Lepisosteus oculatus: one gene and its partners. The protein of the gene in region 3 binds, or shares a complex with, the protein of the main gene of each other region. Links are inferred from orthologs where the notes say so. Each region holds a gene or a part of one and is shown on either strand. Other genes may lie near its edges. The genes, in order: snip1, rbm48, cwc22 and rbmx2.

Region 1 (6,903 bases), on a different chromosome or scaffold from region 3:
CCACATGTCAATCAGAAACAAAATAATAATAATAATAATAAAACTTAACCTATTGATTTTACATATTGTGTAACAGTAATCTAAACTCAGCAAGCTAACATTTAAAATTGGAGTGACCAAATGTGGAGACAGATAATACTCTGATTTTTAGAACTTAAAGATCTCTTATTTTTTTAATTCTGTAACTAGAGCAGGCAAAAGGGCAAACTAACCCCCACAGAGATTGCAATGAAAAAGGAGCTCACCTGTACTGGAACACTGCATGCTGCTTCGAACAAGAAGGGTGATCGATGGGAATGTCTGCGATCTTTCTTTGTCTGCCTAAGAGATAGGCACTCTGGCGATGAATGTACATGACTGGCAGGGGCTCGTCATTTTTGAAAGGGTAGAGCCGCCACCTTCTCTTTGGAATTCGAGCCTCGGGGGGCTCGTTGTATTTAATCACCACCCCCCGGAACGTATTGGTATCTTCCACCAAGGCTCCGGACAGTTCGAAATTGGGCTGCTCCTTCTGGACGGGGTTGTCATCGTTATTTTCCTCTTGACCGAAGCCCGCGTCCTCCGAGTCCATGCGATCTTCGTCTCTCTGCCGATTCTCCCTCCTCCTTTCTTCGTGGCGCTCCCTTTCGGCCTGCTGCTGCTGGAAAACCTGGGCGTCTCTGTCCCGGCCCCGCTCCCCCATCCTCCTGTCCCGCTCAGGCACCCTGTCTCTGTGTCGGACCCTTCCCGCATCTCTGCCCCGCATGTCGTCAGACGCCTCTGAGCGATCTCTGTGCCTCCGCTCCTCCTTCCCACGGCGGTCATCTCGCTCCTGACAACAACCACAATCCGGGTGATCTCACGTTAATCTCAGAGCCCAAGAAAAAGGCCTATTCCAAAACAAGGCATATGTTTCTATTCCTGTCCCAGGAGAGGAATAACTTTCATTGGACTTCAGAGCAGTGCTTGAATGTAAAACCCTTCAGACACACCTCACTGGTGCAACACTACAGAATCTGATCTGGGGTTCATTAGAAATTTGCTCCTGTTGTATGTGATATATATATTCAAAAATAGCCATTGTGCCCCATTTAGAAATCTCTGCGTAGATTCTAATGCATATGCAGTGATCCCTCCTCAACACTCATCCACAGTAATATCAGAAAGACACTGGGGTTGTACTCAGATTATGAAAACTCTTTGAGAATATTTCAATGCAGAGTGTTACAGAAAGATGCACTTTGTGTGTGTTCGCCAGAAAATGGCCTTTTTCAATGCAAAGCACGTTTCAAACCTTCGCTTACCAGTGCTGTGACTTTTTGCATCCACTAAAACACTTCTATGAAATATAAAATACTGCACTTATCCCATTGCCACCTACTCTCTCTCTCTGCACCCAGAATCAGAATTAACTGAGAGACCTGGCTAACAATGTGTGCACGCAATCCTACTTCCAGTTAAACCCTTTGACACCTACAGTGCCAGGTCTCTGGCACCATCTTAAACACTTGAATTGTGGTGCTGATGTCGCCCTTTCCACCTCCACACAGGTGCTGAAGCCATTCTCGATGGCTCGTCTGGACACACCCCACACTGAGTCACCACTCAACACCATAGCCTCATAAGAACAAAACGGACTTTGGGAAAACAGAAAGGAGCCATGATGTGAATTACCTGCTTTATTCTTACATCATTACAGGGAGGACTTGTGCTCCTTCTCTTCCTAGGAGACCTGCTGCCCCGTCTCACTGGGGACTTGTCTCTTCCTCTGGGCGGTGACCTATCAACATAGTTCACACATAAATCTACAACAAAAATATTCCTCCTTGCTCAAGTCACTAAAGTAACACTTTATACACTGAAGACGGTAAGAAACCTTAATAGCTAAGTCTTCAACCCCAAAACTTTGCATTACCTTGCCGTAGGACCTGCCTGTCTGCACAATCTACTCAACACATCCCCAGCCACCCACTTAGGATAAAGAAGCACGGCGTTCTGCAATGCCTGAGGTCACATCCCAAACACAACCACAGCAGAGCATCACTCAGAGAGGCTTGATGCAATTTCTAGTGCTGCACTGTACAAGGGGATGGACAGAGGCAGGTTTACACTTTTCTATAAATCTTTTCCTGAAAACGTCTTATCGGTCGGCACTTCAAATTGTTACCGGCTGGAGTAAAATAATGAACCTAGGTAGCAAAATCATCAAAGTAAATCAGGCCAGCCTAAACGTTAACTATATACAGCATCATAGAGTGGAAGTGACACCCCCGCCGATGTGATTTACACTACTCCCACCTAATAACGCCTCTGTACCGCGATGTGTAATGTTCAAACACAGGAAAGGGTTGACCCCTTTTGCAATTCCCCCTATTAAATAATACAAAGTTATTTATATTGACTGAAATTCTGTTTGTCCTGACCTCTTTGTTGATGTTGATTTCACTGGAATGATCTCAGCCGCAAAATTATTTTCTTCCTAACGGATAACTACATTTGGACTATAACAGAGTTAACGTGCGGCGTACCCAGTATTTAACTTAATCGAAAGAGCTAGGCCTTCAATCACAGCAGCTCCTATAACGCTGTATATAATGCACTACCAAAAGACGGCTCCTTTCGTGAGATACGGTATAAAACGCCTAGTATTTGTAAATACATAAAAACCTATTATTTTTTTCCCAGCTTTCGTTTCTTGTACCCTCCCTACCTGCTGGCTCTTCTCCTGTGCGGGGGTGGGCTTGCGCTGCTGCGATCTGACGCCGAACTCGAGCGGCGAGGTCTTTTAGGCCTGACGGGGCTCAGCCTCTCCTGTTTAATTTTCGTCTTTGTTTCCTTCAGTGAAGGAGGGGACTCCAGCTTTCTGTGTCTTCTCTCCTTGTCCATTTCTCAAACGATTTGTCTAATATCGTTTAGGAGAATTTAAAACACTCTCATCGCAGATATTTTTCAGATGTAATTCCTTACACAAACGCAAAGTCCGTCTACCACAGAACTCGTATCGGGCTTATTCCGGTTCCGGGCACATCGTATATGGGATCCGGATGTTTCAAGCCTTTCGAGCTATATCGTTCCGCTTAATTCGATACTATGGGATAAACTTTTCAATATATAAATCAGTTTAAGTGAGACTTATGATGTACTGGCATTCTTTACAATAGAAATTCCATAATATACTCAAAATATATTTTATTAAAATAAATGTGTTTTAAAAAAAAACAAACTGTGTTGCGTAAATAACGTCAAGGACCCAGGCATACGTCTCAGCCTGCCTACGCTTCTGCTTTTCCAGATTTTTTTAAACCCACACATAATATTTATAATGTCACGTATTAACTGTAAATTAATGTATTCGTGTGTTCTTCGACAAGCTAGTTTTGTAAGGTTGCGATCTGGCGCAAATCCCGGAACACCAGGAGGTGAACTAAACATTGTAAATTGAGTGTTAAAACTTAGTTATTTTAATATTTTCTCTTATATACCACATAAAGCCTGAGAATATACGTCTCAACGTCGGTTATTTGTAATGAATGTATCTTTATATTATTTTATGAATATAACAATATATTTAACATTTAGTGCTTATGCTAGAAATATTCAATGTTTACAAGGCACACTTATTCTAAATTTTAAATATTTAGAACATTTTTACAGTACAGAACATATTGCCCGTATGATTAGTTACATTTGAAGGCTGGTTATGGTTAGTTTACCTGTATTTTTATAGTGAATCTGAGCATTTGTAATATTTAACAACTGAAATCATTTTATTTTCATATTTGATTAACCTGGTCTTCAGTTCTCTCATGTTCCGAATGATGTAGCATTTCTGACATTGTTTTAAAAACCTATATCCAGGTACATGTTTTAAAGCTTCCATTTGCCTCTTTTTTTATTACCATTAAGGTTTGTGTCTTCAGCCCCATCTGCTACTTTCAATAGTATATGAATTAGACGTCCACTGCTAAGAGCCAAAGTATTCCTTTTTATATGGTGTTTATGACACAGATGAAAAAAATGGTTTCTTCTCGGCCATTTGTTCAAGATCTCACCAGTTGATTGTGGACTTTACTGTCCATTTTCCTCCAGTCCTAGCAAACGTTCCAGGAGGAGGAGGAGAAGCATCGCCACCATACCTTACTTCAGAGAGTTGACTGGGAAATGTGCTGTGTTGGGACAGTACCAAATGTACTGCTGGCGTTTGCACCAAAAAGTTCCAATGTGATCTGAACAGATCACAACACCTTTTGCCACATGGTTGCAGGATCACTGCAGTGCTTTGTTGCAGACTCTATGCAGGCTTTGGATTGACTTATTTTTTGTACTGGCTTTCTTACAACCTGCCAAATAGATTTAGTATGTGACACAAATTATTGACTGCCCATTTTCTTCCATCTCAGCCATCGAACTCTTAAAAGTTGTTATTAGCCTTAAAGTGGCATTTCTCACCAGTTTCCTCCTTGTCTGATGCTCACTTTGGAGGTAGGGTCTGAGAACGCAACAGTGTGGGTGATATATTTCTTGATGATTGGAGTAGACTTTGAATGTTTAATACCCTTCTCCTGATCTGTGTTTTTAATTGATTTGATCCTTTTTAGTTTGAAAGCTACTTAGTCATGATATTCACTACCTGACTAAGGACCCTCATATAGAGAATCGGTTTTATTCTTAAATCAAGAGATCCAATATTATGTCATACAGAGGCCACTCAACGTATTGTAAGACTCATTAAGGTACTTTTGTTCACCTAAATTAATTTACCTTTTCCACAACATCTTGAATGCTTATGTAATTAACACTTTTCCATTTTTAGCCAAGTAAATTATATATTTACTTCTTTTTTTTTTGAATGTGTGAAGTAGGTTGCGTATGTAACAGGTATTAATTACTACTCCAAGGTGTCATGACTGCAAACTTTAAAGCAACACAATGTGAAAACTGTGGATGGATATGAATTGGCTCTGCATATGCATGTCTGGATTATTAAGGCTTCTGAATGTGAGTGGAATACCATATAAATATACTGGATTATTTTCACAAATTTATAGCAGCTTTAAAAAATATACAAACAGTAATGGAGGTTTCTGCATGAACAGAGGATTAACAATTCTCCAGCCTACTGCAATTTGAGTTTTACTGCTCTTTCTGGAAAGCTAGAGCTGATTAGACAGATTCTCAGCTGTTTCATTTACTTGTTAGTTAACCATTAACTAGTGGGTGGAGTAGTGGCACTGTGGCTAAGGGTTGGTGCCTGTGGCTAGAAGGTTGCGGCCCAAATCCCACAGCTGACAGAGGAATCCTACTCCTGAGCAAGGCCCTTTAACCCCAATTGCACCAGGGGTGCTGTATAAATGGCTGCCCTGCACTCTAACCCCCAAGCTTCTCTCTCCCTCTCTGTGTGTCTCATGGAGAGCTATTCTAGAGCTAATGCAAGAAATTGGATATGACTAATAAAGTCATCTTATCTTATCTCTTAACTGAAAGGCAAAACCAAAGTTCAGTCATTTATCTATGTATAAAGTGGGATTTCCAAAAGGTGTCTCCGGAAAAAAAATCATCTTGATGCTTCTCTTACTGGAAGAGACACCAGTTTTCATTACTGATGGCGTCACACAAGGAAATTAAGAAAACGGGTTGGGAGGACTTAAACTCTTACTCCCACTGCTGCATTTAGATTGTAAGGGCTACAGCCAGTCTCTGTGTATTATGGAGAAGATGGAGCGAGCACCTGATGTCCACTGGAGAAGGAAACTGTAAGTTAAAGAAAATAACTGTTTTAAATCCATAAATCGCAGATTAATGCAGAACTCCTGCTAGGGTGTGAAACAAAGTCAGTCTGTTGCTTGCTGGAGTGGATTCTAGTCAGGGATGGGGCGCATCTGTATGTATGTCTTGTTTGTCGCTATAATTTTATGTCTGACTTGTCTGTATTTGTTTATACAGTATCCGAGGGCCAAGGGAGAAAGAGTGGCTTATATTGGCAGGACCTGAGAGTCTGGCTTCTGAATGGATTGCCAAGAAAAAATCTGAACTTGTGGATCTACTTTCTAAGGACCCTGAAAATGTTTTAAGCCTAACATATTCTAAAGGCCTGATTACTCCAGCTGAAGGCCACTGGTTGAGAAAATATCCAGTCAAACACCAGATGGCTGAACTGGTGGCAGTAATCATTCATAAGAAAAAATCCCTTACTTTCCTTCAGCTTCTAGCAGAACTGTATGGAAAGGCATACCGCAGACACTATAGATGGATAATGGCTGTTTGTTTAGAACAAAAGGGTAAGTAATGGTTTGATTCCTTTCTCTCTAATGAAAGTGCCAATGAGAGCAAATGATAATTCTTTTGAAAAATATTTTTGGGCATTGCTTTTCCACACAGAGGGTGTCCCACACAAGTCACACGAGCTGTCCATCTTTTGTCTCTTCAGAACCTCTGGATGAAAACAGGACAACAGAACGAGCCAGGGACCCTGTGGACAAGCCAAACCTTTTTGTTAAGCCCTGTCCTCTGGAAACAAGGAGACACATTCAGGACAGTCAGAGAGGGGAGGTAGGCCTGCAAGTCAAATCCAAAATCCTCTCTTTTTCCTGTGAGTAGAGCCCTGGGGGAAGTTAGATCTGTGGGATTCCTCAAGGAGCCCTTTGAAAGATCCTTTTTTAAGAATCAGTAAAATCCTGTATGATTAACAGTGTTAATTTAGTCTTGCAAAACCACCTGATACCCCATTAATCAAAACTATTGTAGATGGTTTAGCTGCACTATTCTGATACACACCACAAAAACTGCAGCAGTTTCTGTACCAAATATAATAGAGCAATTGCATTTGGTACATTTACACACAGGACCATATGGAACATGCTCCCATACAACGGCAATACAGGCCATTTTTTCTTATGTGATATGAAGATACAATTCAAATACAAA
Region 2 (8,015 bases), on a different chromosome or scaffold from region 3:
AAACACTAACGCCAGACTGTATTAGTTCTAATGCTTATCTGGATTGTTCCTCCTACTTCTGTTCAGCAAGGAGGTTTCTTCAGCACCTTTCAAATATCAATATTAATTTAATCAAAGTGATTTCATGGGCTTCTTATTATTCTAGTTAATGTCCGAGAATGACCGTTTTGGAATGCTGAAGACCTTCTGGAGCCACTCGGAAATCAATGTGTTATGTCTCATCCTCATTCACACAGCTCCTTGCTCTCGAGCAGAGCGTTTCCCAGTGTAAAGAGCACAATTAAATCCTCCTGCGTGGTTTTGGGGCAATTGGCTGCTGCTCTCCTGGCTTTGACTCTGGAACCGAAGAGATCTGGTTGCAAAAGAAAAAACAAATATGGTAAAATGCCCCAACACAGTTTTCCTATATTGTTATAACTCCACAGTGCCTCGAGGCAGAATATGTCTCCTACTGAATAGTCTTCGGAGAGATGGAAAGGTGGCGATAGAAAAAAAAGGCATGAGTGGCTCATAATGGATTATGTACAAACACAGGTGCACATCTGAGCACCAGTTTATTTGGAAATCTATATGTGGACTAAAAGAGACGAATTAGAAACATTTCAGATCTGATAGTCCTATTATTGGAAGTTATGCACATGGAATCCAGCTGGGCAGTTCTTCTCACACATATGCTTGTTGGTTTTGTAACACTACACTACTGTGCAAAGCCTTTCCAAATATCTTACAAGTACTGTAATGTGTGAGGTTTCTGATGGCTTGTGTTTTTAACAGCTCTACTGGCCTACTGAACAACAGCAGAAATGGAGAATAATGCCAAACACACATAACAGAAATGAAATGCTAAGACAGTGAAGGTCTTATAAAGAACTTAAAATCTGCAACTCACCTTAATTATTTTTGATCTGATTAAGTCGACTGAAGTGTTTAGGGAATCATCTCCCATATCCACTTTGGGTGTTTCTGGTAGTTTTGGTCCAATGATTGTCTCATTTGTTCTGTTAATTCCCAAAAGAGAGAGTTCCCCAGCCTGTTCCATTTTTCTTTTCCTTTCTTGTAAATGTGTGGTTCTTGGTATGAATCTTGCAGTACTGCTTTTAACTACAGCAACAGGATCTTTCTGGTCCTTGTGAACTCGCTTATCTTTACGAACAGACCCTAAGGGATCCCCCAAGGAATTCTTACTGTGATCAGCTGAACGATTCCTGGGCACCACTCTGAACCTTTCAGATGAAGAACCCACTTCCGGAAGTCCCTTAAAGCTAAAATATGTCTGTTCCCCAAACGACTGATGCCCAGGGATGTCTTCCTGAGGAGGAGGAGGCAGCATGGGATAGCCATAATAATCATTCCAGCTCTCGACTTTTTCACCATCATCACCAGTTTCCTCTGCTTGCTGTTGTTCACATGCAGCTTCCTCAGATGTACTAGGCTTCTCCACTTTCTTCTCTGTATTATCATGGTCTCCTCCTGGAAGGAAATAAGAAGCCTGACTTCCAGAACACTCGTAGTATTTCAGGATATGCACATTAAATCCACAAGGTCTGGTAAACAAAAAAAACAAATATCGATTTTGTCTTTGTATATTCATAACTATTACATAAGACCTCCTTACAAAGCTTTTAAATTCGTGTAAGTGATCAACTACACTTAAAGAGTGGAACAAATATGGGCCCCCAGCTTTAAATGGGAAGGTCTTCTGAACTTTTAGGACTATTCTGACTAAAGCATGAATCAACATTTGATTCATTTGACTCAACATTTGATTTTTATTTTAAAAAGCTCACCTTTATTCCGTGTTACTCTTGCAATATACCTCCTCCTGTCCTGCAATTTTTCCCTGGTGTCCTGCACCGTTTCATACTCTGGAGCATAGCACACATGTAGAAGTCCACCAAAAAAACTCCTCTCATCCAGTTTTCGTTTGGCTACTCTGTATTGGGTAAAATATTTTAAATAGTTGTGGGACACTGATGATTTTTCGTTTTATCAACATTTTAAAATGCAATTATTTCTTTGGTGTTGTATTAAAAATAAAGGGATATTTACTAAAATCACACAGTCACAGTATATTCACTGAATATTCTGCACTTTCACAATTAACAGGTGAAATTAACTCGAATTAATGTGCTTAAAGAAATCCAGATTTTATTGTCGAGTAGGCTGTATGCCTTGCTGGCATAACGTTTTGTCCTTCAGTTCATCACAAACAAGCAGTTAGCAAAAAAAACACACACAAACAGCAAACAGAACAAGAAACACAAATGTGAATTCGATCCAAATGCTAGGAAGACCACTGTTACCTTACTGGTGTGAAGTGGTATTATAAATGAAAATACCAGAACTGTTACCTTGCACTTTGTAGTTTCTGGAACTTTATCAAGTACACTTCTGTGAATTGTTCTGACGGATATTCGTCTAACACACGGTATTCTTCAATCACTCCATACAGAGCAAAAAGCTGAACCAGCTCAGACATCACCCCCAACGCAGGCACCCCCTGGACCAACAAGCAGCGGGACTCCAAGTTGATAGTATAAACCTAAACAAAAGGAATTGCACATATTACACTTCCTAAAGCTGCTTTTGACTTTGTCACCGTCAATAAATAAGAGTCAGTCTTCTTAGACTGCTCCAATAGAGCTCTGCTGGGTTAAATATACTGTGGTCGTGCTGGACTTCGTAAACCCGCATTAAAAGCAAGTTTCTAATCTGAAAGAGTTTAAAGATGTTTCTTGTCTGACAGCTTGAGCCCAGCAGAACACAGTAATTGATATAGCAGGCTACGTACAGAAACAATCGTTTCGGTAAAGACAAACACAGGGGGAAAAAGCTAACCTTGACAGCCTTAAGCCTCCTCCCTTCCCTGTATTTAGCTCTTGTATAACAAACGTCTGTTTGTTGGTGGTGTTTTAAAATCTCCGGGATGCTCCAACTGGAGGCAGCCATCTTGTTCTGTCAAGGCAGAAACAGCCTACACAGAGCTAATCGAGCGTGACCAATCGGGAAGGTTTCTGGCGCTGATTGCCCCCGTATCATTGTACAGTACCATAGGCTGTAGTCTGTCAGCTTTAAACCAATGAAAAATAAAACCGAGTTCCTGTTTTGATACTTAGGGGACTGGTGCATAATCTCAATGCGCGTTGCAATAAGATTTAAAAAAAGAATGTTTCATTTACGTTTAGGGTGACAGACAATTAATATCAAATAATTAATTTACACAGAGATGTACTGGGGGAAATACATACTCTTCGTGCACAGCAAAGCTTCGATGCTGTAATACCGAACAGCAGCAGCACCTACAAAATATTCAAATTTGACGATTTTTGTTGAACTGCTCCTAGCCGGAGAGCGAGTCGCTCGCATTGCCCTCCTCTCTGCAGGTGGTGAAGCGCTGCTGTACAGTATCTTGTAATATCTATTTCTGCAGCAGCAATGCTGGGAAGCCATGGCATACAGCCAGTGACATTAGTTTTTAATAATGCTAAAAACTGTTTTCTGCACCTCTCTTCGAGCTTAGTTTCACAGCTTCGCCTTCAAGAGGTAGTACTCTGAGACCTTACGTTGTCGTGTTAGTGATATCCATGTACCTAACCAATTGCCAATGCTTGCGTATTGTTTGTAGTCAGGACTTAGCATAAATAAAGATGTCGAAATACAGTCTAATACGAAACTCGCTTATAAGGTGGATCTTTACACCTTTGAGTCTGAATCATAGCTGAGACGGATACTCAAATACAGCGCAGGGTTTAGAGCCGACTGCCACGGTCCAGTATTTGCAGGGGGGTTTCTCATTTTCATCTCGTTTGGACTCAGCGGTCTTGTACTAGAACTGATTTCTTGATTGATTGATTCATTTGAAACCTTTCCGCGGTGAGGAGCTGGAGATGACCCTTTTAATAGACTCCCCACAGGATGAGACCTCGGCCGCGTGATTGCGATGCGAGGTGTTTCTGTTTCTGTTTTCTTTTTGCGTTTCCAATCAGAACCAAGCCCTGGAGCTCTCCTGGGACCGCTGTCAACCCGTGTACCTCAGCTGGACGAAATGCCTGCAGTCTTCATTCCAGGGGGAGAGCGTTGTAGAGGTCAACAGGCACTTGGGTGCCAGGCTTGGAATCAAAGATGGAGAGCAGGTAGGGATGTCATGGACAGCTTCTCCAGCTCCTGAATTTCTGGTGTCATATTTTACACAAACGGCTGCAAAGGACAACCTCAAAACAGAGACACCCACCTACTGCATGACAAACCCTTGAGCTTCACTCTATGTTTGCCTAACAACATCATTCTTATCACAAGGAAGTTACCATTATGATGACGATTATTGTGATAATTACATATGTGCTGTTTCTTTATACTGTATGTGAATGTGTGAAGTTTTATTACATTATTTTCCAGGCATTTCTCAGACCTTGCTGGCAGATCCTATCCATTCAGCAGGTGTTTGTGGAACCACTGTCATCTGATGACTGGGAGATATTGGTATGTGTTTAGTCTGCAATTTTTTAATGTAAACCAAATGCTCTCATCTACTGTATATGACAAATTAACTTGAATATTCACATTTTGACCCAATCATGCGTTTGTCAGAAGTGAGAATGGACATCACTTAAATGTGATAAAAATGGCGCGGGTTTGTTATTGTCCCACTGAGATTACACGAGCTGACGACGGGCTGTCACTTTTCTTTCAGGAGCTTCACAGCTCAGCACTTGAGCGACACCTCCTTGACCAGATAAGGGTCGTGTATCCAAACGGACTGTTTCCCGTGTGGGTGGACCAGCACACTGTCATCTACGTCAGGATAGGTTTGCAATTTGCACTCTTCCCTCTATCCGCAATTGTTCTGTAGCAGGTATTCGGTGCTATGCCGGGTGATTTAAGACCTAAGTGGCATGAGACCCGTGTGTTCCTCTGCAAGATGTTGCACTCATTTTGCTTTTGTTTTGTTGAAATGTGAGGTCTAGCTCCTGACTGGAAGGTCCTGGGATTAATCCCAGGTAGGGGCAAGTGATTTCGCTTGCTCTAATTCCTTCCTGAAGACACCCAGGTCCACTCAGCCTGCTTTCCAAATGAGTACCGGGGGTTAATCCTTCTGGGGGTAACAGGCTGGCCGGAGTGCGATGCTGACCGCATCACCTCCACCTCCAGTGTCAGATGGTTGAAAAGAATGGTGGCCCCTGCCTCCCTTTCTCCATGGGCCTTTATGGCCTGAAAAGGGGACCTAACCTACCTACCTTTGTTAAAATGTATTATTGGAGACACAGACACAAACAGGCCAGCAAGAGTCACTTTATTGTGTGTGTAAAACACACTTATTACACGTTTAAGGGGAGCCTAATCCCAGCTCCAGGTCTCCAGGTATTTAATTTTGAAATACGTGAATCAGGTGTTCATTCATAAGCAGGAGGAAAAGACATTGTCAATGTTAGTAGGAGACTTAATAATTAATGTTTTTGCCACTTTTGCTGATTTCTTGGATGTGTACTAAAGCTAGTTTTAGTGACCATTGAGCTTGCTGTTAGAAATAGTCCCTGGCTTGCATTAGAAAAAAACATGAAAGTTTGACTTCAGTCAGTGTTATTTACGGTTGTATTCCCATGACGTAGTTAACCTAGTGTGAGGCAAAGTTTAGACTTACTATAGTGGTTTTGTGTAAGCTGGATATTGACTTCTTACCTATGATTAATCTTCATACAATTACAACCTCCAAACTCCAGCCAGCAAAAAAAAACAACAATATTGTTCACACATATGTTGTGTGTTAAGTCCTTAAATGTGTCATTGTTATGTCAATTGTGGTCCAGCATCTGTCTCCCGAGAAACAATGACAGACTGTTTGTAACGCGTTGATCTTCCTGTTCCTGCTCGGCTCCAGCTGCCCTCACGCCCGCTGCTCCGTATGGCCGGCTGGAGCAGCTCACCGAGCTGATCGTCTCCCCCAAGCTGCGCCAAGACGGGGAGAGCCCGGCGCGCCCTTCTGCCCCCCCGAACTGGCAAGCAGATGCCAGTCAGGCTCGGGGTCCGCACGGGCCAGACAACGCCCCGGGGAGAGACGCGTTGGGCACCCACCGCGGGGCGCCACCGTGCGTCTCCCCCGGAGGGGGGCGCAATCTGCGGAGCCTGATCCGATCCATGTTCGCCGGGAGCCCTGCCCCCCAGAGGGAGGTTCCCGCTGTCCCTTCGGTGCCGCCCGTCCTCGGGGACTCTGTTTTCAGAGTGAGCAGGAGCGCCCCCTTCCCTGCCGGCCGGCAGAGCCCCGGTCACGGAGCAGCCCACGTCTTCCCCTGGCGCCACCCCTGCGCGGCGCGCGGCGGGGCCCCGTTCGCTGTCACCTACGGCCGGCTGTCCGGGCTGCACCGCCCCAGGGAACCAAGGGAAAAGCCGCACAGGACGCTGTCCCAGCCCGAGAGGAAGAGGGGCCCCGAGGCTCGGGGCGCTGGAGACCAGCTCGGGTCCGGAGGGGGCGCCGCAGGGCCCCTGGCCGTCAGGATCATATGCCATGGGGTGGAGGAGCTGGCGGACACCCAGGGCTGCGGCAGCAGGAGAGGGATGCCGTATGGTGGGAGGGTGTGGGTGAGTGGGGGGCCGCAGCACGGCTCAGTGGTTCGAGCTCCAGACTCGTTACTGGAGTTGGTGGGTTCAGACACTGTAGCGAGGTACGTCACTCAGATTGCTCCGGAAGAGTAAACGAGGGGTAGGAAAGCACGTTGCTTGGACACAACAGTGTCGATATACAGTACGATTACAGCCACAGGGCTGCATTCAATTTGGAGCTGGTGACAGGAATGTTTACAAAGGGTTTAAAATAGGTTTTTAAATGTGTGTAGTTGATGCTTTTGACTCTAGTGATTCCCTTGAATCTTGTTGATTCACCTGTAGGATAGCAGGATACAGTATATACTGTACACATTTAATTTAAAAAATACATTAATAGCCCATTTGCCTCACTGTTTTAGCAGCAGGGGAGATGCTATAAAGAATTCCAATGTGTTCTGTGAACAAATGGAACTAGGATCCTAACAAAGCCGCTCACTGTAAATGATTCTAAGTGCGGTTCAAAAGGAGTTTAATGTCTTTGGGTGAACAAGCATGGGAAATGTCAAATACTGTATATCACATTGATTCAGTGGTTAAATGACTGATATACTGTTTGTTTCAGTACCCTTCTATATTGCTTTGTATTGTTTTCCAAATCCCGGCCTGTGTGTCTCATTATCCTTATTGTCCACAGATTTCAGAATCCATTAGAAGAAGACTGGGTATTGATTTCTGCACAGCCGTTAGAATACAGCCATTAAACTCAGTCCCAGAAATAGCATCCTGTGTCCGATTGCAGCCCTTGCAATCACTGGTGAGTTGAACCGTAGATTTTGTAGGAGATAAAATGCAAAGCTCTCTCCAGTTAAAAGGATTAAAGGTATTTTTGCTAGAAGTGTAAAGCACATGGGTTTCTTTAGAGTATTTTTTTTTCTTGAGTGGAGTCATTGGTCTAGTTATTGTATAGCCCAGCTTCTCTTCTGTTTCTGAAACCCCCACTTAAGTGAAAGTGCCTGTCTTTGTTTGTGTCTGTTGTGTGTAGAAATTGCTCCAGCCTTGTGGTGCTTTTATGTCTCAGTTGCCCATATTGAAACTAAGAGACCTGACAGAAGTGTTTAATCTTTACCTTTCCTCAGCCGCAGAAGGTCAAGGAGCAGGATGTCCAGTCTGCTTTCCTGGACTGGCTGCAAGCTCAGAATAATGAAGAGCTGCCTTGGCTCACAGGGAGGTCCAGCTTTGTCGCCTTGCCAGTCCACGAAGGCAAGTGTTTTACTGATCATTCATTCGGAGCCGTAGTGGAAGAGGAGGATGTTTTAAAGTAGTGAATGGGATAAGCTATTAACTGGTATCATGTCCAACTAAACCTGTTCTAGAGGTCCCTTGGCTTTTAAAGTGGGTTTGATCCTATCAGATGATCATTTCTTACTTTTAGGTCAGGATACACAGGATGATGTTGCTTAGCCTTTGCTCTGATTTGA
Region 3 (7,291 bases):
AACTCAAAGTAAATGTCTCACAATTCTGTTAAAAAATATGTCAGCATATTCAGCTTCAATAATTTTATGTCAGTCTTAGATGTCATTGCTGCTACAGAAGAGAATAGATTTTGCAAACATATCTAAAAGTATGTCCAAAATTCAGCAGCCAGAATCCTGACCAGATCTAGTGCAAGTGTTCACATTACTCCTATCCTGGAGTCCTTGCACTGGCTTCCGGTCAAATTCCGCGTAGACTTTAAAATCCTCATGCTCACCTACAAGGCTTTACATGGCTTGGCACCTCAATACCTGTCTGAACTTTTATCGCCCTACTCCCCACCTCGCAACCTCCGCTCTTCAAATTCTGCCCTCCTTACTGTCCCCCAAGCCCGTCTACATTGTATGGGCGACAGGGCCTTCGCCTGCTATGCCCCCAAGCTCTGGAACTCCTTGCCCAAGGATATTAGAGAGTCACCTTCTCTAAACTCCTTCAAATCCATACTCAAAACCCTCCTTTTCAGAAAAGCCTTTACTTAACTGGTTCCATTCTTCACCCCTCTGCTCTTCTTAATACCATCTTCCACGGTCTCCTCTATTGTTATTGTTGTATTGTTGTAATTATAATTGTGTCCTGTCTTGTGAAATTTTCTTATTTATTGTTGTAGTCTTCTTATTTATTGTTATTGTCATCCTGTAAAGCGCTTTGAGAAGCCACCTTTAAAGGCGCTATATAAAATAAAGTTTATTATTATTATTATAAAAGTCACACCTGCCTTTCAGTACCACCCATGAGATTTACACTTTTTAGACAGACTGCTTATTCCTTTCAAAACATTTTCTAAATAATAAGAATGCAAAACCATTTGAAAACATTCAGAATTTAATTCTACACTAAGATAACAAATAAAAAGATAACATTCCGACAAAACTAACACACACCCTTGACTTTTTTTACACTATTAGACTCAGTGATTTCCCCATGCTGTGACACTTCATTTCCTTAACTACATTTCCCTCACAATAAAATTCTATCTTTCCCACTCAATTTACCTGCGTTCAAAAATCAGTTCAGAATCTGCAGGTATGAGATGGAACTAGAATACCATCAGAGATGCTACATAAATTATATGTATAATGCAATCAAATTGATCTTGACGATAAAATGTTTGAAGATCTCACGGTTCACAACTGGTTTTGGTTCACAAAACCACAGGTATTGGGGAGAAAATTCAAACAACTTGTACTGTCTACATATTACACTAGTGAAAAGTAAAAGCAGTGCTAAGCAACAGCTGGCAATGTTCAATTTTGACGGGAGACCTCCTGGGAAAAACTAAGGTTGCTGCTGGAAGAGGTGTTAGTGGGGCCAGCAGGGGGCGCTCACCCTGTGGTCCACGTGGGTCCTAATGCCCCAGTATAGTGATGGGGACACTATACTGTAAAAAGGTGCCGTCCTTTGGATGAGACGTAAAACCGAGGTCCTGACTCTCTGTGGTCGTTAAAAATCCCAGGGTGTTTCTCGAAAAGAGTAGGGGTGTAACCCCGGCGTCCTGGCCAAATTTCCCATTGGCCTTAACCAATCATGGCCTCCTAATAATCCCATCTATGAATTGGCTTCATTACTCTCTGTTCTCCTCCCCACTAATAGCTGATGTGTGGTGAGCGTTCTGGCGCACTATGGCTGCCGTCGCATCATCCAGGTGGATGCTGCACATTGGTGGTGGTGGAGGGGAGACCCCATTACCTGTAAAGCGCTTTGAGTGGAGTGTCCAGAAAAGCGCTATATAAGTGTAAGCAATTATAATTATAATTATTATTATTATTATAATTTTAATTAGTGCTGCTATCTTATTTGACTATTTTATATTAATTGTATCAGAAAAATACGGATAAATACTTGAATTTTCAACACCAGTCCATTTGGCATTAACGTTTTCCTCCACCACAAAGCAAATGAAAGGGTGTTTTACATATAATCAATAAAATACATAAACGACATAAATTCACCATAAATGAACCCTATGGCCTTTACTGAACGATAAACAGTTATCGTTTAGAAAACGGGTAACTGACATGCTCACAATTCACTGAGGTAACTGAACTTCTCCTCATCAAATGGAGTATGCTGCTACTTCCAATATTCACAGCATGTAGGCCTACATTTCAGTTTATCTTGAGAAAATCCGCTAAGAGTGAAGCAGTGCCACAAGTGTATATTAACGGAAGGAAAAGCATCTACAATCTTCCTGGAACCAGTAACGCATCACAGACAGGACGAAATAAAACTCTTAATTGTTTTCCAAAACATTTTATACAACCACCGAATCTAAACCTGCACTAGAACTATCTATAAAAACTTCGTCGCCATAATTTGTGTACTTACGGATCTAGTATCCGAGGGAAAAATGGAATAAATATACCAACACCTGTTCCTATTAAATTCGGCCTAACAATAACAAAATGCGAGAAGCTTACGTACACTTTTCTAATATTGTTGATAACTAAGTTATCGTCTCTACAACTCCAGATTTACCTTAGATGATGCAGACAAACGCGTTTTATTCAACAATGTTTTAGTTATAAACTAACCAAAAATGCGTATACTAGTAATAGTTTATTTTCGACTAATTAAACCTGGGTCATATTAGTAACAGGGGAAAAAAAACTTTTTAAGCTAGGAAATGTATTAAAATCATAATGCAGAAATATTTTTAATAGTTTTTATACCCAAGGGAAGAAATGTTTACTTGCATTGCGCCATGTGTGACAGACCGGAGTTCTTTATAGTACAGGGAAGGCCTGTACACGTTTCGTCAATGCTTAACCTTACTACGACGATCAGAACGCCTAAACATTGAAGTGATATTATATAAATAATTTACCTATGAAACTATGACAACAATATCACTCAAAGAACATGAAAATACTTTATTTTTACCTCCTCTGTTGCAGTCAAGTCGCGTCTTGTTTCAATTTCAACTTCATTCGATTCCGCGGCCATCTTTCCTCAAGTGAAGATCACCTACGGATCCTTGTAGTGCTCAAACGGCACGAATTGGTGAGCCTCACACTACCTGCTACATCAGCAAAAGAACGCGAAATTCGAAATCACAGTACAGTGTATCGAAATCTAAAATAGACCGTTACTTTACCAGCACTATAGGGAGTGATAAAAAGATAGAGGTATTTGTGTTCTAGACAAGATTTAACTAACGTGTCTAGTGATTTTAAAGATCGTTAATTATTGTTTTCATCAGCAATTTGTAGATCATTTTTAAAGAAGATTTCAGTGTAGTCTACGAACACAGCACAGCCGGAAAGCTGCAACATACAAAAGAACAACAAAAAGACTGCTGTAAGTAGCAGTTGTATGACTTCTAACATTACAGTAATATTTTGAGCTGAATGCTTCACAGCAGCATTAACATCTTAGATCCTGACTTGATCTGATCTCAGATCTCAGAAGTCTGGTCATTTTTGGGATAAAGATACTAAAGATACCAAGGTTGCTGCTGTATGTGTTTTAAGTAGACCAGTAGGTGTAACTATTTCCTTTGAAGCATGATTTCTAAAACTAATACCCCAGTATGGCAATAAGGAATACTGTGCCGTACAAACTGCTTTTCTGTCCTGGCAGTTTGGTTGTTGTTAAAGTCCCTGGACACTGTTTGTGAGACTACGGGGATGAGCTCTGTTTCACTAGATAAGTTCCATTTTAGGTCTGCACAATTTGTACAACCTGAATTTTTTAATTTAATAGGTGAAGCATTTTCTCACTTCTCCCCCTGATCTGTTGTTTATGGGGCTAGTGGTGCAAAATGGGTGCCACACATTACCCAGTTGAATGCAGTTTTCCTTTGGTGGATAATATGGGTCCCTTCAAATATGTAAAGTTCTTTGGGGTGCAAAGTGGCACATAAATGCGACGAATTATGATTTTCCTATTTATTATGGATATATTGATAAGGCATTTGATTACTGCATATGGAGACATTGTATACTGTACATATTACAAAATATCCATGGTATATTATACTTTAAATCTTAACTAAAATACCTCCATTCTTTTCTCATTTTTAGCTTTAAGTATGAATGCTGAGAGAGATTTTATGTTACTTTGGGAAACCTGCTGAGCTGTTAACATATAAAATTGTGAGCTAATTAGCACTGTACAGTATGTGTAAATATGAAATATTATTAACAAGCACTGTTTATTTCTCTTTACCCTAAAGTTAGGTTTCCATTCATGTGTGTGCATGTTTCCTCCTCCATTTTGCCGATTTTCGTACAACCTAAAATGATGGTGTAATGCTTTTGAACCTAAAAAAGATTCTCCTTTAAGTACAGGATTTGCCATCACAGAAAAAATACAGTAAGAACAAAACATAGAAAATGACTCAATGAGTCAATGAGAGGAATAAATTCATACTCTATTTGTATAGGAATTCTCAACAAAATACTCCAGAAGAGCAGAATATTTTTTCAGTGTCTGTTCATGAGAAGAAGACGTTCACATTTAAGGCTGGAATACTGTCCTTTCTACTTTTTTAAGCTTTATTGAACAAAAAGAAAGAAAACCACAGGAGTCTTTGGAATAAAAGCTAAGATGTAATGGTTAAGCATTTGCTTACCCTGGGGCATTGGCCTTGTTTTCGTGGTTTACATGAAAACACATTTTTTATTGACAAGAAAAACTAGAGCAGGCTTTACATCATGGGGCAGAGGTGGCATTAATGATGAATCTCACATCCACTTTTATGGCAGTGTGTTCCCTAAGGAGACACTTTATGCTTTACGATGCTGCCAGTGAAGCTACTTTGGTGGAGTAAATGGTGTGGAAAGGACCAAAATATTCTTGATTTTCAAAAGAATAGCATTTTTTAACAGAGACATTCTTTTTGCACAGTTTACTTGAGAAATATTTTTTTTTACAACCATAAAGTCAGTAATGTCCATAGAACTGAAGCTATGAGTGGCGTTAATAATTTATTGTGTTAGCCTTTGGGTAATGCAAGGTGGCAATGCTCTGTGTATTGTGAAAAAAAATCCCAAATCTGTAGGACAGCAGCCTATACATAGCACAAAACCGGTATGACAGTATCTTGGACAGTTGACTTTCACAGAAATCGGTCAAGGACTGGTCACACATATGCAAAATAGGGCTCTTTAGCAGTTGCTGATCAGGTCAAGACCATAGGAGTGCCATGAATTGCACAGTTTCAAGCAAGATAGCTTTAGAAAGGTCATGGTGCTTATACAAGTCATAATGATACCATCATATACATATATTATACTAAGCTTTTATTAATAACATTGTGTTACAGACTAATCTGTTTGCTGAAATTATTATATAATCACTTTCAATGCAATCCATCAATCTGAACAGCCAGTGATTGCAGTTTTTACATCAACAACACTATTAAATATTTTACATGTCTCTGCTAGTCTAATTATGAGAAAAATAGCTACTTCCTAAGATTACCATTCCATGGAAAATGCTGGGTTTTATTTTTGCATGATCAATATAGCGCAATGAATTAATTTGCTCTAGTAGACATTTCTTAAGATAGGGAGTTGAGAAAATTGCTTAGAAACTGCCTTCCTTTTTCTTTCTTAATTAAGAACTTAAATAGCTGGAACCACATTTTAAGAAAGTTATTCAATGTTCTTGCATCTGGAAGAGATCTTAAGTAGAACATGTTCACAAAAGAGGATGTTCAAAAATACAACATCAGGTTCCATATAGGCAAGTGCAAATACTGATAGATTGAATGCAAGCATTGTACTATACTTAGAAAAAGGCCAACTGTGACATTTGAGCTTTTTCTATAGCAATGTCAAACACATGAATTTCTGTTCCATAGAAGATTCTCAAGATTATAGTCCATTTTAAAAATGAGGCCTTAAAACATCAACCTGTAATTGATTTTCATGCCAGGGAGAATTACAAAGGCTGAAAAACTACAACTCAAGTAAATGCAATAATAAAATAACATGTTTACATGCATGAAATACTATAGATTCCAGTGCAATACTACTGCAGTACTCATCTAAAATACAGTACAGGAACCGTATGAGTAGCTGTAACACTACGAGGAACAGCAATGCAATAGTTCAAAATTTAAAAAAATACATCAAATATACAGTGCCTTGCGAAAGTATTCGGCCCCCTTGAACTTTTCAACCTTTTGCCACATTTCAGGCTTCAAACATAAAGATATAAATTTTTTATTTTATGTGAAGAATCACCAACAAGTGGGACACAATTGTGAAGTGGAACGAAATCTATTGGATTTTTGAAACTTTTTTAACTAATAAAAAAATGAAAAGTGGGGCGTGCAAAATTATTCGGCCCCCTTGCGTTAATACTTTGTAGAGTCACCTTTTGCTGCGATTACAGCTGCAAGTCGCTTGGGCTATGTCTCTATCAGTTTTGCACATCGAGAGACTGAAATTCTTGCCCATTCTTCCTTGCAAAACAGCTCGAGCTCAGTGAGGTTGGATGGAGAGCGTTTGTGAACAGCAGTTTTCAGCTCTTTCCACAGATTCTCGATTGGATTCAGGTCTGGACTTTGACTTGGCCATTCAAACACCTGGATACGTTTATTTGTGAACCATTCCTTTGTAGATTTTGCTGTATGTTTGGGATCATTGTCTTGTTGGAAGATAAATCTCCTTCCCAGTTTCAGGTCTTTTGCAGACTCCAACAGGTTTTCATCCAGAATGGTCCTGTATTTGGCTGCATCCATCTTCCCCTCAATTTTAACCATCTTCCCTGTCCCTGCTGAAGAAAAGCAGGCCCAAACCATGATGCTGCCACCACCATGTTTGACAGTGGGGATGGTGTGTTGAGGGTGATGAGCTGTGTTGCTTTTACGCCAAACATATCGTTTTGCATTGTGGCCAAAAAGTTCAATTTTGGTTTCATCTGACCAGAGCACCTTCTTCCACATGTTTGGGGTGTCTCCCAGGTGGCTTGTGGCAAACTTTAGACGAGACTTTTTATGGATATCTTTGAGAAATGGCTTTCTTCTTGCCACTCTTCCATAAAGGCCAGATTTGTGCAGTGTAAGACTGATTGTTGTCCTATGGACAGACTCTCCCACCTCAGCTGTAGTTCTCTGCAGTTCATCCAGAGTGATCATGGGCCTCTTGGCTGCATCTCTGATCAGTCTTCTCCTTGTCTGAGCTGAAAGTTTAGAGGGACGGCCAGGTCTTGGTAGATTTGCAGTGGTCTGATACTCCTTCCATTTCAAGATGATCGCTTGCACAGTGCTCCTTGGGATGTTTGAAGCTTGGGAAATCTTTT
Region 4 (7,806 bases), on a different chromosome or scaffold from region 3:
ACTGGATGAAAAGAAATGTAAAAAAGAGGAATAAAGTAATGAGGAAAAATGACAACTCAGTTCAAAGAACAGTTTAGAAGTTGATGGATCCTTTTTTTCTAAGTACAGATCTGCAATTTTCTTTAAAATTGTTTGTTTGTGTTTTTAAGGCATACACCACACGGAATCCTCTAGGAAGATGACTTTTCCTTCCGGTGTGTCCTTTATCCCAGGCTGCGCTTATGGGAATGGGAATTCAGCCAGATTCCAGACTGGAAAGGGGTGAAAGACTGAAAGACCACAGCTGGCTCTGCATACGGACAGGGCTGTGGAAACAGGGAGATCAGAGCATTGGCTGGAGGGAAATGCTCTTCTGTTTTTTTCCAGGACTGGTGCCTGGGTGCTCACGCTGTCTTTTGCGGTCATTTCGCTTGTTTTTGCCTTTTGACGCGCGATCCTTACGCATTTCAACATCAGCTGCAGTTGCAGACTTTGCTTTTCTGCCCCGGACTCTGCTCCAAATCAAAACCTCTTTATCCTGGGGGGGGGGGGGGGAGGGGCACCTTATGCAAAAGCAGATTGTGGCTTACGAATCCGCGCCCACTTATTTATTTATTTTACAGTTTTTTTCATGCTCTTGGCGACTCCTGTTCTTGGGGGAGTGTGGAGCAGCGCACTCCAAGGAGGGAGATAAAGGGTAGAGAGAGGGAGGGTGAGTGAGAGAGGGCTGGAGGACAGATAAGAGAGCTCTGCATGGGCTGTGCATGTGTAGAGCTGCTCGATGCCTCTGTGGATGGAGCACTAAGGCTGCAACTAGCTTGCGTCTGTAGACTGGCACCCCAGATGCACACAGTGTGGACAGCAAACCATGTCTGTCACCCAGGACACACAGAGCACGGGACAGGCCTCCTCCTGTTAACTCTCCTGCCAGCGCAAGGGCAGTGCCAGGGATCGATCACCAAGCATGGACGCTGAGCTCTTAGGCTGGATCCTGAGCATCAGCTCGGTGCTCATCATCGCTACCAACGTGCTGGTGGGCGCCGCCGTCCTGCTGCTCATCCGCAAGAAGGGCAGCCAGAGCTGGGTCTTCGTGCTCAACCTGGCGCTGGCCGACACGCTGGTGGGGCTCGCCATCCCGGGCATCGCCACCGAAGTGATCGGCGCCCACTCCTCCTCCACCCACAAGACCAGCTGCCTCCTGCGCATGGCCTGCGTCACCTCCCCCTCCGCGGCCTCCATCCTCTCCATGTTCCTCATCTCGCTGGACCGCTACCTGGCCATCAAGCTGCCCCTGCGCTACTCCCAGCTGACGGGCCCGCGCACGGCCGCCGGCGCCCTGGTGGCGCTGTGGCTCGTCTCCTTCCTGGTGGGCTTCCTGCCCGGGATGGTGCGCGAGCTGCAGCAGAGCGACTACAAAGGCTTCTGCACCTTCTTCTCGGTGATCCGGCCCCAGGGCATGATCGTGGTTTTCTGCGCGGGCTTCTTCCCGGTGCTCTCCGTCTTCATCTACTTCTACTGCGACATCCTCAAGGTCGCCTGCGCCCACCAGCGCCAGATCCGCCGGGCCAGGCTGGCCGGCTCCCGCCTGCCGCAGCCCGGCCACTTCGCTGGCCACATGAAGGCCCTGCAGACCGTGGCCCTCCTGGTCGGCTGCTTCACCCTCTCCTGGTCCCCCTTCTTCGTGGCCAGCACGGTGCAGGCTCTCTGCCAGGACTGCCGGCTCTACCACGTCATCGAGAACTACCTTTGGCTGCTGGGGCTCTCCAACTCCCTCATCAACCCCCTGGTCTACGCCTGCTGGCAGAGGGAGGTGAGGCAGCAGCTCGGCGTGCTCTTTGCGACGGTCAAGGGCAGGATCTCGCCCGCCGCTGCCGCCATCGCCACCGGGAGGCGCCAGGCACCGTCGACCACTGGGACCACAGAGCTCAGTCACACCCCTGTTCCCACAGTGCACTGCGGCGCGCCCGGGGAAGGACACGCCAGCGCACGGGGCTCTGTCTAACCCCTCCTGAGCAAGGGCACCAGGGGTACGCCCGCCGATGACAAGGGGGTGTCTGAGCTGGACGTATTCCTGGAGAAAAAACAGCCGTTTCCTTTAGTTTCTACTCCCGTCCTGCCGTCTGACCCGGAGCTTCGCAAGTAAACAGCGGGATTTGGGGATACCAGCTGGCACGCTGTGCTTTCCGACTGCTCCTGCGGCCCAGCTGTACCGCCACGGGCTGAAAAGACCAGATGGCTGTGTTTGCTTTTTCGCCGGGGTTCATCAGTCACGTTAAACACTTTGCTAATTGACTTAATCTTTTGCTTCTGCACTTTGTTCTGTTCTTCTATTAATAGCTATCAAAATATACAAAGAGAGGTTTGCGAAATGGCCAAAAACTTCTAAGCAAGCCCGCCAAAGGCATGTCTTTCAGGTGCCCTCAGGCTACAGCACAAGAGGTAGTGTTTAGAAACTATATTTGGAATGCCCAGGTAGGTACTGTTTGGCAGCACGATGCAGTAAGGGGTCTGGAACATTTTATGTCACTGCATTTGTGTGTGTTGGTGTATCAGTGATCCATTACCTTATACAAAGCCAGAGAAATACCTGCTCATCAAACAGCATACACAACTAGCATCAGCAGAGCACATCTGTGGGCTGGTAATGGCAGCAGGACTAAAAGCATATTCTGCAGGTGTTTGTGCTTCTCTAGAATACCTTCCTGCTTCCTCAGGTTTTACCCCTTTCTTGCCTTGGTACACTGTCTCTTTAACCCTCCTCAGACTACTTCGACTTAAGACAGTCAGTGGCACGGACTGGAGTGCCAAATGCTCCATCTCTCCCTTTCAAATTGATGTAAATAGTAAAAACAAAACTGTCCCGTGGAGTCTCCCATGTGTAATCTTGCCACCTGGTTTATGAATGGGCGCAAACAACTTTCTTGTCAAAAGAGAAATAAACTTCTTTGCACTGTGTTCTTGCACCGAAACTGAATGGGGATATTACTGTGAGTCTTTTAGGCAGGAAGAACAGGAGCAATAGGCGGGATAACAGAGCGACAAGCAGGACAGTTTAGGCTCCGTCAAGCCGTGAAATAATGTCAAAGCCGTGAACCTGGGAAAGAATCATTTATCGTAACTCTAAGAAGACCCAATCAGCATCAAGACACCAGCGTTACTGTTCTCCTTAGAAAGGCTGACTCAGCTCTTAGGGAGGGGTGCACTGCGAACACCTAGCCTCTCTCAGGTCCTGGGTCCCCAACACAGCAAGTTCGGGTGTGTCTTGGTTATCCCACTCTCCCCCTGGAAATCTGTGTCCGCAGCCCAGAGGCGCACGTGGCGTTGCCACGGGGACGCATGTTTTTTCTCATAGTAATAACAATAATATTTTTATTTTATTTTATATAGCACCTTTAAAGGTGGCTTCTCAAAGCGCTTTACAGAATGAGAACAACAATCAATAAAAAGAATACACAAGATAAAACACAATTACAATACACAGAGGAGACCGGGGATGGTGGTACTAGGAAAAGCAGAGGGGTGAAGAATGGAACCAGTTAAGTAAAGGCTTTTCTGAAGAAGAGGGTTTTGAGTCTGGATCTGAAGGAGTTTAGAGAAGGTGACTCTCTGATATCCTTGGGGAGAGAGTTCCAGAGCTTGGGGGCATAACAGGAGAAGGTCCTGTCACCCATACAATGTAGACGGACTTGGGGGACAGTAAGGAGACCAGAATTAGAAGAGGTGGGGAGTAGGGCGATAATAGTTCAGACTGTTGTTCAAAGTGGATTTAGATACCCTATTTAGAAACTAGATATAGTCCACCTAGAAACCGATTTCATTTACGTGTTGGCAGTCATTTTTTGCATTATAGTAAACTCATTAAATACACCAAGATACTATTTAAAAACACACAAACAGCGGTCTCCCTTTTATCTGTTCCGTAATCGGCGAAGGCGCAAACACGCACACGCAACAGCTGCCTTCGTTATGAGAAATGCTGGGAAGATTTATGGAGCGCGAGCGAATTATAGATACCGATCAGATACTGAAGTAGACATAATACGTGCAAGGGTGATTTTTTTAAATCAGCCGTAGAGTCAGTGCGTCACGACTCTTACCGAGCAAGTCTCCAAAAGGAAGTTCAATCTATATTTTTCCCATGTGCGCACTAGGTTATTGTCCAGGTAAAACCGGAAATGAAACAATTACACAAATTCAGTTTCAGTGTAGCCAAAGTTTTTGAAACCGGACAGATATGCCTAGTTATTACTTTATTTATGTTACTGCTAATGTGACGTGAGAAATGATCAGACATGACAGATCCTGCCCATTAACGAAACACATACCATCCCTCAACAGGACACGTGCGTGGATTTAACTAGTGATTTAATTATTTATAAACATTTATAAACTCACGTTTAGGTGAAACTGTTTATTTCATCACCCAAAGTGACGGGAAACACGATGAGAACAGTAGAAAAAATTAAACCCGGGGAATACTTTTCTTTTGTATCATACTGCTACGTTTTTAGTTAAATTGGCTAAATTTGGACAAATGGTGTCTTTGATTTTGTGCATCAGTTGCTGCGCTCTAGGTTTTCAGCTTTTATTTTACAGATACGTATCTACGCACTTTTAAAATTAAATGTATAAAGAATTTACAAATACAACTAGAGGAGCAGAAACAAATAAAAGAGAAAAAACACATAAACAGAAAAAACAACGTTTTGCCACAGGTAATGAAGAAAATTATTTACGTGACCAAATAATATTTTTTACATAAATCAAATGTTTTCCTTGCTTTAGCATTTTTCATTTTTTTTTAATTAATTCTAGTATCTACGCATTATACAGATTCTGCAAACGGCTCTTCTATAATGACCAGTGTCTCATTGATTGTAGAAAGTAACTCAAACCCAAACACTGTTTCAAGACTTTCCGAATAGGAATTATGCAGAGGATATGAATGAGCTGAAGACACAGCATGTGGATCTCAATCGTATTTTAAGAGAGCGTTAAGTATCTCGGGAGTTTTCAAAAGGACACGCGAAAATATACCACTTTGCTATTTCAACAGACGTTGGAGTGAAAAATGTTTTTATATTCGGTATGGACCATCTTCCTTGTTCCTGTTATATGAATAAATGCAATTTAAGATACATTTTTATTATAAGAATGACTGTTCCCTCAAAGGACACTCTCCACTCGCAAGCTAGATATTTTTGTCACATGATCCAGTAACAACCCGGAAGCGGAAGCAGGAGAGAGAGGGGTCATTTGGATATCGTGGGAGTGAATTCGTTCATGATGAAGTGAGTATCGACCTTCTATTAGTTTTTCCTATTTTTCTAAACTATTGCTTTCAATTTAAAATGAACCTTTTGCTGTTTTTAATTGTATAGTGGCGAACGGGTGATGTTATGTAAATTAAAAATGACAAAGCTATCGACCAAGTTTAGCTACCGGTATTGAAAGAAAAGCTTCTTTTTATTACGTGACCAAAACTCACAGCCGCAACACCGACCTCATTCTGTGATACTGTCCTTATCGGCTTTCTCCAGCTTACAAACTTTGGATTTTAAGAAATATTTCATCCTGTGGTTAGCTACTATCTAGCTCTATGTTTTGTTTTGATTTTGGCAGCGACTCTGAGGTTCCAAATTGGGGTAATTCAGTTAGCATTTGTTTTGCATTGTTTGCGTTTTTACTTTTTTTATCTTGTATAAACTCAACCGAGTGTTTTCGCTTCTCTTTAATCGTTGTTGAATTTACACAAGCAACGCAGTAAATGCAGTTAGGTGCCACCTTGTGGTGAGAAGTGGAATTGCTTACAGCAAGTTGTGTAGGACTTCACTAGTTTAAAAATGGAAAATCACCTCTAATTCTACAGAACCGTCACCCTCTTAATAACACAATCTATGAGTCACTGCTTATTATCATTTATTATAATTTCTTACATTTATATAGAATTTTCTGGACACTCCACTCAAAGAACACTACAGGTAATGAATGGGGGACTCTCCTCCACCACCAGTGTTGAGCCCCACCTGGAAGATGGGACGATAGCCATAGTGCACCAGTACGCTCCCCACAGACCAGCTCTCAGTGGGGAGGAGAGCGGAGTGCTGATGCCAGTTCAGAGAGGGGGATTATTAGGAGGCCATGATTGGTAAAGGCCAGGGGGAAACTTGGCCAGGACACTGGGGTAACACCCTTACTCTTTTCAAGAAACAAGACCATGGAGAATCAGGATCTCAGTTTAACGTCTCATCCGAATCATATTGAACTTTCCCCAGTAACGGAAATGGAAATTAGTTAACCTTTCCTTGCTACAACACAGAACACGTAGGCCTGAACTAAATCAAATCTTTGACTGACTCGGATCTGCTTAATTGGATCCCAGTTAAACTGTCCTAAGCCTGTCATTGGACACTGATGGTGATATCAGGTGACCCAGTCCCCCTGAAGTAGGGCTTTGCATAAGCAGGGTTAGAAATCCCTCCTCTGTAGAAGAATGCATTCATGGCAGGCTGGCAGATAAGGACAGAATTGTGAAGGGCTGCCCAGCCTTGCTGTGTGTGTATTGCAGTGGGAGTCAGTCTTTTTCTCTGTCTCTGCGCAGTCCTCTAACCAAGGTGAAGCTGATCAATGAGCTGAACCAGAGGGAGGCGGAGCTGGGAGTGAAGGAGACGGTGTCCTGGCACTCGGAGTACAAGGACAGCGCCTGGATATTTATAGGTGAAGACAGACCTTCCTTTCTCTCCTCTGCATTGATCGCTGTTTATAAACTCGCATTATATGGTGACTGATGAGAAAGAACTACATTTGCAGTGGTGGAAGGGCAGATAAAATGCTCACACTGCTTAGGGCAATGGCTTTAAAGTTGTATCACTCCTTTATTGTGGATCCTTATTGCTGGACAGCTTTAGTGAGGCCCTGGACTCCTGACTGGAAGAATCCCAGATGGGGGCACTGCTACTGTACCCCTAAGTAAGACAGTTTATCCAGATTGTTCCAGCAAACCAAGCTGCACAAATGGGTACCAAAACCTGTATGTACAGGCTACCCTCTGTACTACTCCACCGCAGGAGTGACAGGTGATGGATAAAAATCCAAAAAGAACCTGGAAACAATTGGTTGTGAGGTATAAGTAGGCCAACAGATCAATTAGTTGATTCAGTTAAGTTATTAAGATTTCTTCTGGAAAAAAACCCAGGAGGCCCCTGTTTATTTGTCCAAGAGTGGGTGACTCACTTATCTGTGTTTTCATATTCCTCCAAAGTTAGTGATTCCTACTGGATTTGCTGTTATCTGTCAACCATGTGTGGGTGGCTGTTTTGACCTGTGTGTGTGGTTTCTGGCAGGTGGCTTTCCATATGAGCTAACGGAAGGAGACGTCATCTGCGTTTTCTCACAGTGAGTGTCTGATATTATACGTGTTTTCACCACCTCAGACCACGGGTTTCAAACCCGTGTGCTCAGTGTTAATGCCCTGTTCATATCCCTTTCCACCAGTGACATGTCTCTCTCTCTCTCTCTCTCTCTCTCTCTCTCTCTCTCTCTCTCTCTCTCTCTCTCTCTCGCAGGTATGGGGAGATTGCCAATATCAATCTGGTGCGGGATAATAAGACTGGGAAGTCGAAGGGCTTCTGCTTTATCTGCTATGAGGATCAGAGGAGCACCATCCTAGCTGTGGATAATTTCAATGGGATTAAGGTAAAGGCAGGGTGTTCAAATGACCAATTCTGCACAGCCCGGTGACCCGGCCATCCTCTGGACAGTGTCCTGGGGGATAAAATACAGAAGGCCTGACAAATTTTGAACCCTGATCTAGCGACCCCTTTAGTA

Evidence for each region.
Region 1: cwc22 (region 3) and snip1 share a complex: the UniProt entries of both Homo sapiens proteins name them as parts of the minor spliceosome. The link is inferred for Lepisosteus oculatus from reciprocal best matches to the Homo sapiens genes CWC22 and SNIP1.
Region 2: cwc22 (region 3) and rbm48 share a complex: the UniProt entries of both Homo sapiens proteins name them as parts of the minor spliceosome. The link is inferred for Lepisosteus oculatus from reciprocal best matches to the Homo sapiens genes CWC22 and RBM48.
Region 4: cwc22 (region 3) and rbmx2 share a complex: the UniProt entries of both Homo sapiens proteins name them as parts of the minor spliceosome. The link is inferred for Lepisosteus oculatus from reciprocal best matches to the Homo sapiens genes CWC22 and RBMX2.

What each region holds. Positions count from the first base shown.
Region 1 is NC_090706.1:12,463,939-12,470,841, forward strand, and holds the start of snip1 (smad nuclear-interacting protein 1), read right to left. Parts: upstream 3,012-6,903; 5' UTR 2,866-3,011; coding exon 2,690-2,865; intron 1,760-2,689; coding exon 1,654-1,759; intron 812-1,653; coding exon 246-811; intron 1-245. Other genes in the region: caspase-13-like, read left to right, coding at 5,686-5,732, 5,923-6,257, 6,407-6,528. UniProt on the Homo sapiens protein: Required for pre-mRNA splicing as component of the spliceosome. As a component of the minor spliceosome, involved in the splicing of U12-type introns in pre-mRNAs. Down-regulates NF-kappa-B signaling by competing with RELA for CREBBP/EP300 binding.
Region 2 is NC_090705.1:5,011,729-5,019,743, forward strand, and holds the start of rbm48 (RNA-binding protein 48), read right to left. Parts: upstream 3,009-8,015; 5' UTR 2,950-3,008; coding exon 2,839-2,949; intron 2,543-2,838; coding exon 2,352-2,542; intron 1,934-2,351; coding exon 1,788-1,933; intron 1,471-1,787; coding exon 890-1,470; intron 353-889; coding exon 281-352; 3' UTR 1-280. Other genes in the region: peroxisomal ATPase PEX1, read left to right, coding at 3,436-3,543, 3,987-4,133, 4,396-4,479, 4,691-4,805, 5,876-6,573, 7,232-7,351, 7,674-7,797. UniProt on the Homo sapiens protein: As a component of the minor spliceosome, involved in the splicing of U12-type introns in pre-mRNAs.
Region 3 is NC_090707.1:19,010,165-19,017,455, reverse strand, and holds the start of cwc22 (pre-mRNA-splicing factor CWC22 homolog), read right to left. Parts: upstream 3,011-7,291; 5' UTR 2,984-3,010; coding exon 2,921-2,983; intron 1-2,920. UniProt on the Homo sapiens protein: Required for pre-mRNA splicing as component of the spliceosome. As a component of the minor spliceosome, involved in the splicing of U12-type introns in pre-mRNAs. Promotes exon-junction complex (EJC) assembly.
Region 4 is NC_090703.1:47,213,515-47,221,320, reverse strand, and holds the start of rbmx2 (RNA-binding motif protein, X-linked 2), read left to right. Parts: upstream 1-4,790; 5' UTR 4,791-5,262; coding exon 5,263-5,270; intron 5,271-6,580; coding exon 6,581-6,696; intron 6,697-7,322; coding exon 7,323-7,374; intron 7,375-7,544; coding exon 7,545-7,674; intron 7,675-7,806. Other genes in the region: glucose-dependent insulinotropic receptor, read left to right, coding at 944-1,981. UniProt on the Homo sapiens protein: Involved in pre-mRNA splicing as component of the activated spliceosome. As a component of the minor spliceosome, involved in the splicing of U12-type introns in pre-mRNAs.